Linked DNA regions of Mus musculus. The protein of the gene in region 1 purifies or fractionates together with the protein of each later gene. This does not show direct contact. Links are inferred from orthologs where the notes say so. Each region holds a gene or a part of one and is shown in the gene's direction. Other genes may lie near its edges.

Region 1 (4,420 bases):
AGACCAGACACCTGCTTTCTGCCTCCCAAGTGCTGGGATTAAAGGTAGTCATTACTTTTTTTTTTTTTTTAAAGATTTATTTATTTATTTATTATATGTAAGTACACTGTAGCTGTCCTCAGACACTCCAGTCTGATCTCGTTACGGATGGTTGTGAGCCACCACGTGGTTGCTGGGATTTGAACTCCTGACCTTCGGAAGAGCAGTCGGGTGCTCTTACCCACTGAGCCATCTCACCAGCCTGGTAGTCATTACTTGTTTGTTTTACAAACCAAAAAATTTTGGAACAGAGAATATCACAAGTCATTTAGATACATCAGATTTTTTGTTGTTTTTCAGAAAGTATCTCAAGAAGTTCTTTCTGGCCTAGAACTCACTAAATGTATGAACATAAAGTTCGACTCCTGTTCCCTTGGGCCAAGAGCTGAGATTATGAGGCAGGGAGGAGAGGAAAAAGACAAAAGGACGTTCAAATGAGCCCCATTACTACTATACTAGGCATGTCTAACCCAGAAAGAAAAAAAAAGATCTAGAAGGAAATGAAGTTTTGCTAGAATCTTCTGAAGGTCACAACAAAAACAGGTTTAACAACTGTAGCCTGCACCACAACTCCCTTAGGGGAACAAAAGCATTAGAGTTGTGTCTGAAAAACTGGTTAATATTTTGACCTTTCTTGGAAGCAGAAACAACTAAGTCTCCCCAATAAATCAGAGTAGCCTGAGGGGGGCCAGGCCGAGGATACGTCTGGGAGCTGGAGGCAAACGATGTGGCTTGTCAAACGAGGGTATTCAGCTATCCTGGGGTCTGTGTGTAGAGGCCCAGGGAGACCCACAGGTCTGGCAGCCAGAGCAAAGCCCTTACAAAGGCCGCAGGTGCCCCTCCTAGCATCTGCATGGCGGAGCTGCGTGCTCAGAGCGTAAAGGCAACCTATGCAAAACCTTGCTCTCCTCCTGGGAAAGTGAGCCCTGTGACCGTTTGTCTTGTTTTTTTTTTTGTTTTTTCATGCAGCCTCATCAAGTCGCATTTGCCGCGCGCGCGGTTTGGGCGAGGCGGGAAAGCGAAAGTTGAGCAAACTTTGCAGGCTCTACCCTGCATCGGGGCGCAGACCGGGCACCGTGGGGTACCAGTTAAGTCGCCCAAGCTCGGTGACCTTGAGAGCGACTATAAGGCTCCTTAGTCTGCGATGGATGCCCCACAACGAGGAAGCAAGCGTCCATGTTTCACTCTGACCCGAGCCCGCGGCTGCAGCCGCCATCGCCCGGGATTAATGGCGGCAGAGTCTGGACAGCTTTATTCGGCTGCAGCCTAGGCGGAAGTGGAGGAGAGGGGGCGTCTGCGCGGCTCGCGGGGATGGCCGGGCCGAGCGCCGCATCTGCGGGACAAGCCGGCACGCGGCGACGAGCTCGCGCCACCGCGCGTACCCCACCCACCTGACGGAACGGCCGGCGCGCGCTCCCAGTAACCGCGGTTTCTCGCAGCGTTTGTAGCGCTTACGTCACAGCCTGCGCCGCCTCTGATTGGGTGATCTGGTCAGGTCATGTGGCAGAGCAGGGTGCTATAAATAGGGCGAGGGGACGGTGGTGGTCCGCCATTTCGTGACGCCGCGAGACCGAGAATCTGTAGGAGCAGAACCAGAGGGAAGCGGGTGGGCCTGTCGGAGCGTTAGGATTTGAGCTTGGGCCTTTTGAACCCAGGATCTCGGTAAGGGACCGGCGAACGGAGGGAGGGAGGTGGAGGGAGGGAGGTGGAGTTCCGCAGACTCGAGGTGGGGCCGGGCGCAATGGCGGCACCAGATTGAGACAAAGGGGCGCCGCCGCCATTTTGTGACTTTCGGTCCCGGGCGGCGGCTGGGGCCCCGGGCAATGTTGAAGATGCTTCCAAGTCTGTAAATCCCGGACTTAATCTTTTGTCCTTTGGAGGAAGGCTCGGAGAGGGATTGCTCCAGGCTGGGGTGTGGCCGGCGTGTGTGTGTGTGTGTGTGTGTGTGTGTGTGTGTGTGGGGTAGATCTCTAAATGAATTCTCCACGTCGCGGCCTTTAGTTTGATGGCGCCTTTTTCTTCCTTGCTCCTGGTTTTCTTGGTATAGTGTCTTGAGGACTTTGTATATATTTTTTAAGACAGGTCTTTTCGTATTTACTGAGCCCCTACAGTCTCATCTTTTTTTTATGCCGACTTGGTGTTTGCTTTAAAAATCTTTTCTAATGAGGCTGCGTTTCTTAATGTAAATCATAGTTCACTTTGAGTTGGGTTTTTCTTTGACCTATTTGCTTTTAACAGGTGTGAAAACCGGGGATGGATGAGTTTCATTTGTCTTTTTGTTTGTTTTTTTAATTTTCGCGGAATGGCTTGGTCGCTCAACTGAGTCTTGGGCACAGGGTGGGGTCACGGCAAAATAGGGTTAAATTTTTTAGTTTGATAATAGTCGGTTTGAACATTATGGTGTATAGTAGGGAAGACACTTAAATGGCTTATTAAGTAGGGTTTTCATTTCGGAAGTGTGAAGTTGAAGACTTACTGAGTGTATGTCCTCAAGGTTGTATGTTGTATGTCCTTTTAGTAAAGATTCTTTTACGCAGGAGTTTAGGGTGCACGGTGCAGGCCACTACATGCCTAGCAGACCTCAACATTTACTTTTATGCACTTTTTACTAAAAGACGGGGGGTCACTAGCAAACTTCATAACTGTCATTCCTCTAGCCTGTTGAGCCACAAGCATGCTTGCCTTCCTAGCTATGATAGTTTTGTTGTGGAACCTTTGTGTGGTTCCAAGATATTTATTTTTGTTTGTTCCTGAGACAGTTCTTGCTGTAAATCAGGCTGGCTGTCTTGGTTTACTCAACTTTTTTAGATCTGGTCTCCAACTCATCATTTCCCTCCTCCTTCAGAGTGCTGGGATCAAAGGTGTGTGTGTGTGCGTGCGCACACCACCTTCCTGATGCACTTAGTTTTTGAGACAGGGTAAGTTATGCTTCAACTTCTGCATTCCTTTTTCTGTAGTGCCGGCCTTCTCAGAATTCCCTGCCTCTCCTTGGGATTTCTTTTAAGTGTCTGGATTTTCCATTTCAAGCATTTCACATGTAGGGAATTGTAATGGCCTTTTCTGGTTTTAGAATGTTTTCAAGACTTTTAAACTTAGTAGTAGACAGTATATTCCTGAATACTGTGTCACATTCTAGATCTCCATCTCCTGGTAGTCATTTAGATTGGCACAGCTTTCACTATTGAGAGCAGTGCTGTAGTGAGGCTTTGACATGTTTTTCATTGTGTCTGTAGTTCTGGGGATTAAGTTTCAGTTGCATGCTAGACAAGCTCCCCACCACTGAACCACATTGAGACTTGAATATATGCTTGGAAAACAAATGGAGCCAGGTGTGGTGACTCACAGTTGTCTTAGTCCTTGAGAGCCAGGCTAGCCTGGCCTATCTACAGTGAGACACTTTTCTTAGAACAATAGCACATGGTTTGGCTGCTTGGAGAATTTTAACTGCTTATTAGAGAAGTGTTTAGAAAAAAGTGGTATTAGTGTTAAGACAGTAAAGGAAATTTTTGTGGCAGTGTATCTTGGAAGTATTTGATTGCGACAGGACTTTAACTGTAGCCCTGCCTGGCCTCAAACTTGTGATTTTTTTTTTAAGATTATTTATTTATTCTATGTAAATACACTGTTGCTGTCTTAGACACTCCAGAAGAGAGAGTCAGATCTTGTTATGGATGGTTGTGAGCCACCATGTGGTTGTTGGGAATTGAACTCAGGACCTTTGGAAGAGCAGTCGGTGCTCTTAACCATAACCGCCGAGCCATCTCTCCAGCCCCAAACTTGTGATCTTAATTAATTACTTTTAAAAACTAGAAATACAGGTTCTGCCCAAGGAAGGAAGCCTTAGTTTATTTTGTGTTTGTGGGATGGTGTGTGCACCACAATAAAGGTCAGAAGATAATTTGTAGTTTTTCTACAATGTGTGTCCCGTAGCTGAACTCAGGTGGACATGGTTCCCTATGCCTTTATTCTTCTACATCTCTCCTAAGGAAACTTGGAATGTAAGGTTTTGCATCCCAGCAAAAGTCCCAGCACTTGGGAGGCAGAGGCAGGCGGATTTCTGAGTTCGAGGACAGCCAGGGCTATACAGAGAAGTCCTGTCTCGGAAAACAAAACAAAAAATAGTTTGATGCCTCAGTAGCAGAAGCTGGTCTTCAACTCCTGCCTCCACCTGTGAATTGTAAGAACTAAAAGTACAGATGTAGGCCACCACTCAGCACTCTGGTTAAATTTAATTTGAAGTTAAACAGAGTTTAAGCCTCATATACAGGGTTTGTGGAGCCTTGCACAGATATTCAAGGTCAGCCTGGGATACTTGAGACCCTGTCTTTAAAAGAAGTGATAAGCCCTGTCTCGAAAAACCCAATAAATAAATAAATAAATA
Region 2 (4,399 bases), on another chromosome or scaffold:
CATTAAAAGCAGAGATCTCACCCAGGCAAACAACCCTCGCCTCCCCTCAGAGCGTCAAGTAACGCTTCGCTACTCTCCCGGACCAAGAACGCCACCATGGAAGCCTCTTCCCCTTTGCTCCCGCTCAGCCTCGCTGTCCCACAACGCCTCATTTCCCTCCGCAATACTGGGTTATTTTTTGTTGTTGTTGTTCTGAAGATTAGCGATTCTGAAGAGCAGGGGCTAAGGTCCGCTGTGGCTCCGAAGAGAAAATTTCTCCTCAGCCAACAGGTACCGAGAGTCACCACAACTAACACTTTCCTCTGCAGTCGCATAAAAGACAACTACCTTCTGGGGCGACGAGGACCTAAAGGTGAAGCGCAGCTAACGCTGTCGCAGCCATTCCGCACATCCCTTCCACCTCGAGCAACTTTTCCCGCCACCAGGAGAAGGCGCGAGGACACGGACAAATTCCGCCCCCAAGCGGCGTGCGCTCAGGTGCTGCGCGTGCGCAGTTGGAAGTTGCTTCTGCGTCTGCGCAGCCGGAGTAGCCCGCCATCTTAAGAACGAAAGCCTAGTGAAACTACAAGTTCCATAATCCTCGCTGACATCTTTAGTTCCGCGCCCCCCCCCCCATAATATCCTGCGAAGCGCCCTAGGCACTTCATTCTTATCTCTGCCTCAAATCGCTTTCTCTTTCCTGTTTTCGTGCTATCACTCCCTACCTTTTAGTTGTCGTCACCCTCTTAAATTTTGAAACCATCTTGAGCTCCCCCCTTGCCTCTACAGTGCTCTTTCCTGACAAATAGTCTGTGGACTGGGAAACTCCGCCAGCCATCAGTCTGAGGATTCTGCATAGAATCAGTGCTTCCCATTGGCCGAAACAGGAGCCCAAACAGGTCGATACCCTTTCCCGCCCACATTCGCGGTGTGTCTAGCTGCAGGGATAATGCTGTAAAATCCGCAACGCTAGCGGGTGGCGCTGAGGGACCGATACGCAGGCGCTGCACTATGGCAGCGGCGTCCGAGGCCTGACGTAGGTGTAGGGAGGAGAGGAAGGCGTAGTTCTCTAGATGTTTGTCCCTGGTGGAAGGAGGAGGGCCGCTTGAACAACTGGGCCATTTCAGGGGAAGAGGAGTTTGGACAATCTCGATGTTTTAGTACTTGTTTGTTTTCAATTCAGAAAATATATTAAATAATATATTGCATTTTATTGATAACAGTTCTTGAGACAATGGTCTCGATTCCTTAGCCTACTTTATCATCCTCTCCTCAGGTTCTCCTAAGTCCTAATTCTAATGAGATAGGCTGGGGGCGGGGGGAAGGGGTGGGGAAAAGACCAGCGATCGCTCATGAATAATTCATGAGCCCGCCTCTTTCGCTGGGAATGCACGCCCCTTGGAAACGTGCTGACGCACGCTGCGTGTAATGAACCTAAGGAAACGACGTCACACTCCCCGCCCCTAGAGCGGAGGGGGCGGAACATCATCTCCAGCACGTGTTGCCCCTTCAACCCGCGCAAGTCCAAAAGGACTGTGCGCAGGCGCTCTCCAGGAGGGGCGGGGATGGGGGAGGAAGGAGGCGGGGCAGGGAGGTTGTTGGGTTTAGAGCCGGGCGGAGACGGCGGAGCCTCATTCCTCAGGAACAAGGGTCGGGTGTCAAGGAGACCTTTTCACACCAGCTCCCGTTCCCCGCCTACGGTGGGTGGGATCGCACGGCAGAGACAAAGGATATCAGTAGGGCTTGGACTTAGCAGCGAAGGGAAGTCGGGTGTCCGTGTGGGGCGGTGGGCGTCTCGGGCTGGGGGAGGGTGAGGTAATTAGGGAGGGGGGCTGTATTTAAACTCTCGGAGCCGTTAAGTTGGTTCGCACTCCCGATGCGCGCGCAGCCTGGGTGGTGGCGGAGCGCGCATGCGTGGGTCCTGGGCGAGCGGGACGCGCGCCCGTCGTGCGCGCTCGCGGCAGAGTGGTAGTGGCGGAGAAAAGGGAGTCGGCGCACGCGCAGTTGGTTCCTCGGCTTGTCCGGGTCTCGCGGGCATCTTGTTTTGGTCTCGCGGGCGAGTGGAGCGCGCTTGGTGTGTCGCGGGAGGGAGGTGGAGGCGCGAGGCAGAGCTGCGCGCGCACTCGGGGAAGGAGGGAGTGAGGTGGTCTTAGGAAGGGTTACAGGGGGCTTCCCCTTGCTCTCTTCTCAGTACCCTCGCTTGAGAAGGGGAAATTAAACAGGGAGAGGAGATGATCGAGATGGCGGCGGAGAAGGAGCCCTTTCTGGTGCCGGCCCCGCCGCCGCCGCTCAAAGATGAGTCGGGCGGAGGGGGCGGCCCCGAGGTGCAATCGCACCAAGAGGCTGCCTCCGGGGAGCTCCGTGATGGGACAGAACACGGGCCGGGCCCTCGCGCGCACTCGGCCGGGGCCGCAGCCAGCGGAGGGGGCGGCCCCCAGGCACAGGCGCACGGGGAGCCCCACGGGCGAGCCGCCGCTCCTGCGGACGTGGGGGAGGAGCGCCGGGGAGGGGGCGGGACGGACCTGGGTCCCCCAGCCCCTCCTCGACCTCGCAATGGCTACCAGCCCCACCGACCCCCTGGGGGTGGTGGGGGCAAAAGAAGAAATAGCTGTAACGTGGGGGGAGGGAGCGGTGGAAGCTTCAAACATCCGGCCTTCAAGAGGCGCCGGCGAGTGAATTCAGACTGCGACTCTGTGTTACCATCCAATTTCCTTCTGGGGGGTAACATATTTGATCCACTGAACCTGAATAGCCTCCTGGATGAGGAAGTGAGTCGCGCACTCAATGCGGAGACCCCAAAGTCATCCCCACTTCCGGCCAAGGGGCGAGACCCTGTGGAGATCCTCATCCCCAAAGATATTACTGACCCGCTCAGTCTCAACACTTGCACTGACGAGGCCCATGTAGTGCTTGCCTCACCACTCAAGATTGGTCGCAAGCGCCATAGACACCGGGGACCGCACCACCAGCAGCAGCAGCAGGCGTCTGGAGGGAATGATAGCAACGCCGCCGTGCTGCCCACTGACCCTCTCACGCCCTCACTCCATGGGGAGGGTGCTACGCAGCAGCAGCAAAACAGAGGCCAGAACCGTGATGCCCCTCAACCCTATGAACTCAACACAGCCATCAACTGCAGGGATGAAGTTGTGTCTCCCCTTCCATCTGCCCTGCAGGGTTCCTCAGGCTCCCTTTCTGCCCCTCCAGCTGCCTCAGTTACCTCTGCACCCTCTACTTCTTCCTCCTCCCGACATCGCAAACGTCGCAGGACTTCCAGCAAGTCAGAGGCAGGGGCTAGGGGTGGAAGCCAGGGTTCCAAGGAAAAGGGCAGAGGGAGTGGAGGAGGCCGTCACCACCACCACCCACTACCTGCAACTGGCTTCAAAAAGCAACAGCTAAAGTTCCAATATGGGAATTACTGCAAGTACTATGGCTATCGCAATCCTTCCTGTGAGGACGTGCGCCTTAGGGTGTTGAAGCCCGAGTGGTTTCAAGGCCGGGACGTCCTAGATCTGGGCTGCAACGTTGGCCATCTGACCCTAAGTATTGCCTGCAAGTGGGGCCCAGCCCGCATGGTGGGGCTGGACATTGATCCACGGCTTATCCACTCTGCTCGCCAAAATATCCGACACTACCTGTCGGAGGAGCTTCGTCTCCAAGCTCAGACTTCTGAGGGGGACCCAGGGACAGAGGGGGAGGAAGGGACTATCACTGTCCGAAAAAGGAGCTGCTTCCCAGCCTCACTGACAGCCAGCCGGGGTCCCATCGCTGCACCCCAAGTGCCCTTGGATGGAGCGGACACATCTGTCTTCCCCAACAATGTCGTCTTCGTCACGGTAAGAGTCCAAAGGCTCTTGGAATAGGGTTCAGATGTGAAGATGAGATTAAATAGGAATGTGTTGGGGGGATGGTCATGACCTAGAGGTGTATCCATGCGTCCATCTGTTCCTCCATACAAGAACCACCTCCTGGAGAGAACAGGATTGGCCAGAGAATCTCTACTGGGTGTTGTCTCTGCTCCTCTAACGTGGAAAGTGGGATCTCTACCTTGAGGCTCTAACACCTGGTCCTTTCTCATGACTACAGACAAGGATCTCATCCCCAACATAGCATGCCTTGCCCTGCTTCCACCTGGGACTGTAACCAGAGAGTCCACTTTCCCAAGGGTACTTCTGTTCAGTCCACATGGAACCTTGTCCTCAAGTCTCCTGAGGGAGCCTCAAGCTCGGTGTCTTTGGGAGAGGGGGAACACTCTGGTATTTGTCGTTTGGGGCCTTTGATAGGGACTCTGTTTGCCTCAGCTGCTTTCTGTTTCCCTAGATACAACACAAGACTGTTGAAATTGCTGGTCAGAAACCCATGGGTCTGTCTTCCCCATGCTGACTGAATAGTGAGAGGGAGGCAGTGAAGAGGACTACATGGA

Evidence for each region.
Region 2: the proteins of Srsf3 (region 1) and Mepce purify together in Homo sapiens (affinity purification with mass spectrometry; 3 studies listed by BioGRID and IntAct, with this or other methods). This does not show direct contact. The link is inferred for Mus musculus from reciprocal best matches to the Homo sapiens genes SRSF3 and MEPCE.

What each region holds. Positions count from the first base shown.
Region 1 is NC_000083.6:29,031,086-29,035,505, forward strand, and holds the start of Srsf3 (serine/arginine-rich splicing factor 3), read left to right. Parts: upstream 1-1,574; 5' UTR 1,575-1,701; intron 1,702-4,420. UniProt on the Homo sapiens protein: Splicing factor, which binds the consensus motif 5'-C[ACU][AU]C[ACU][AC]C-3' within pre-mRNA and promotes specific exons inclusion during alternative splicing.
Region 2 is NC_000071.6:137,783,874-137,788,272, reverse strand, and holds the start of Mepce (7SK snRNA methylphosphate capping enzyme), read left to right. Parts: upstream 1-1,571; 5' UTR 1,572-2,210; coding exon 2,211-3,812; intron 3,813-4,399. UniProt on the Homo sapiens protein: S-adenosyl-L-methionine-dependent methyltransferase that adds a methylphosphate cap at the 5'-end of 7SK snRNA (7SK RNA), leading to stabilize it.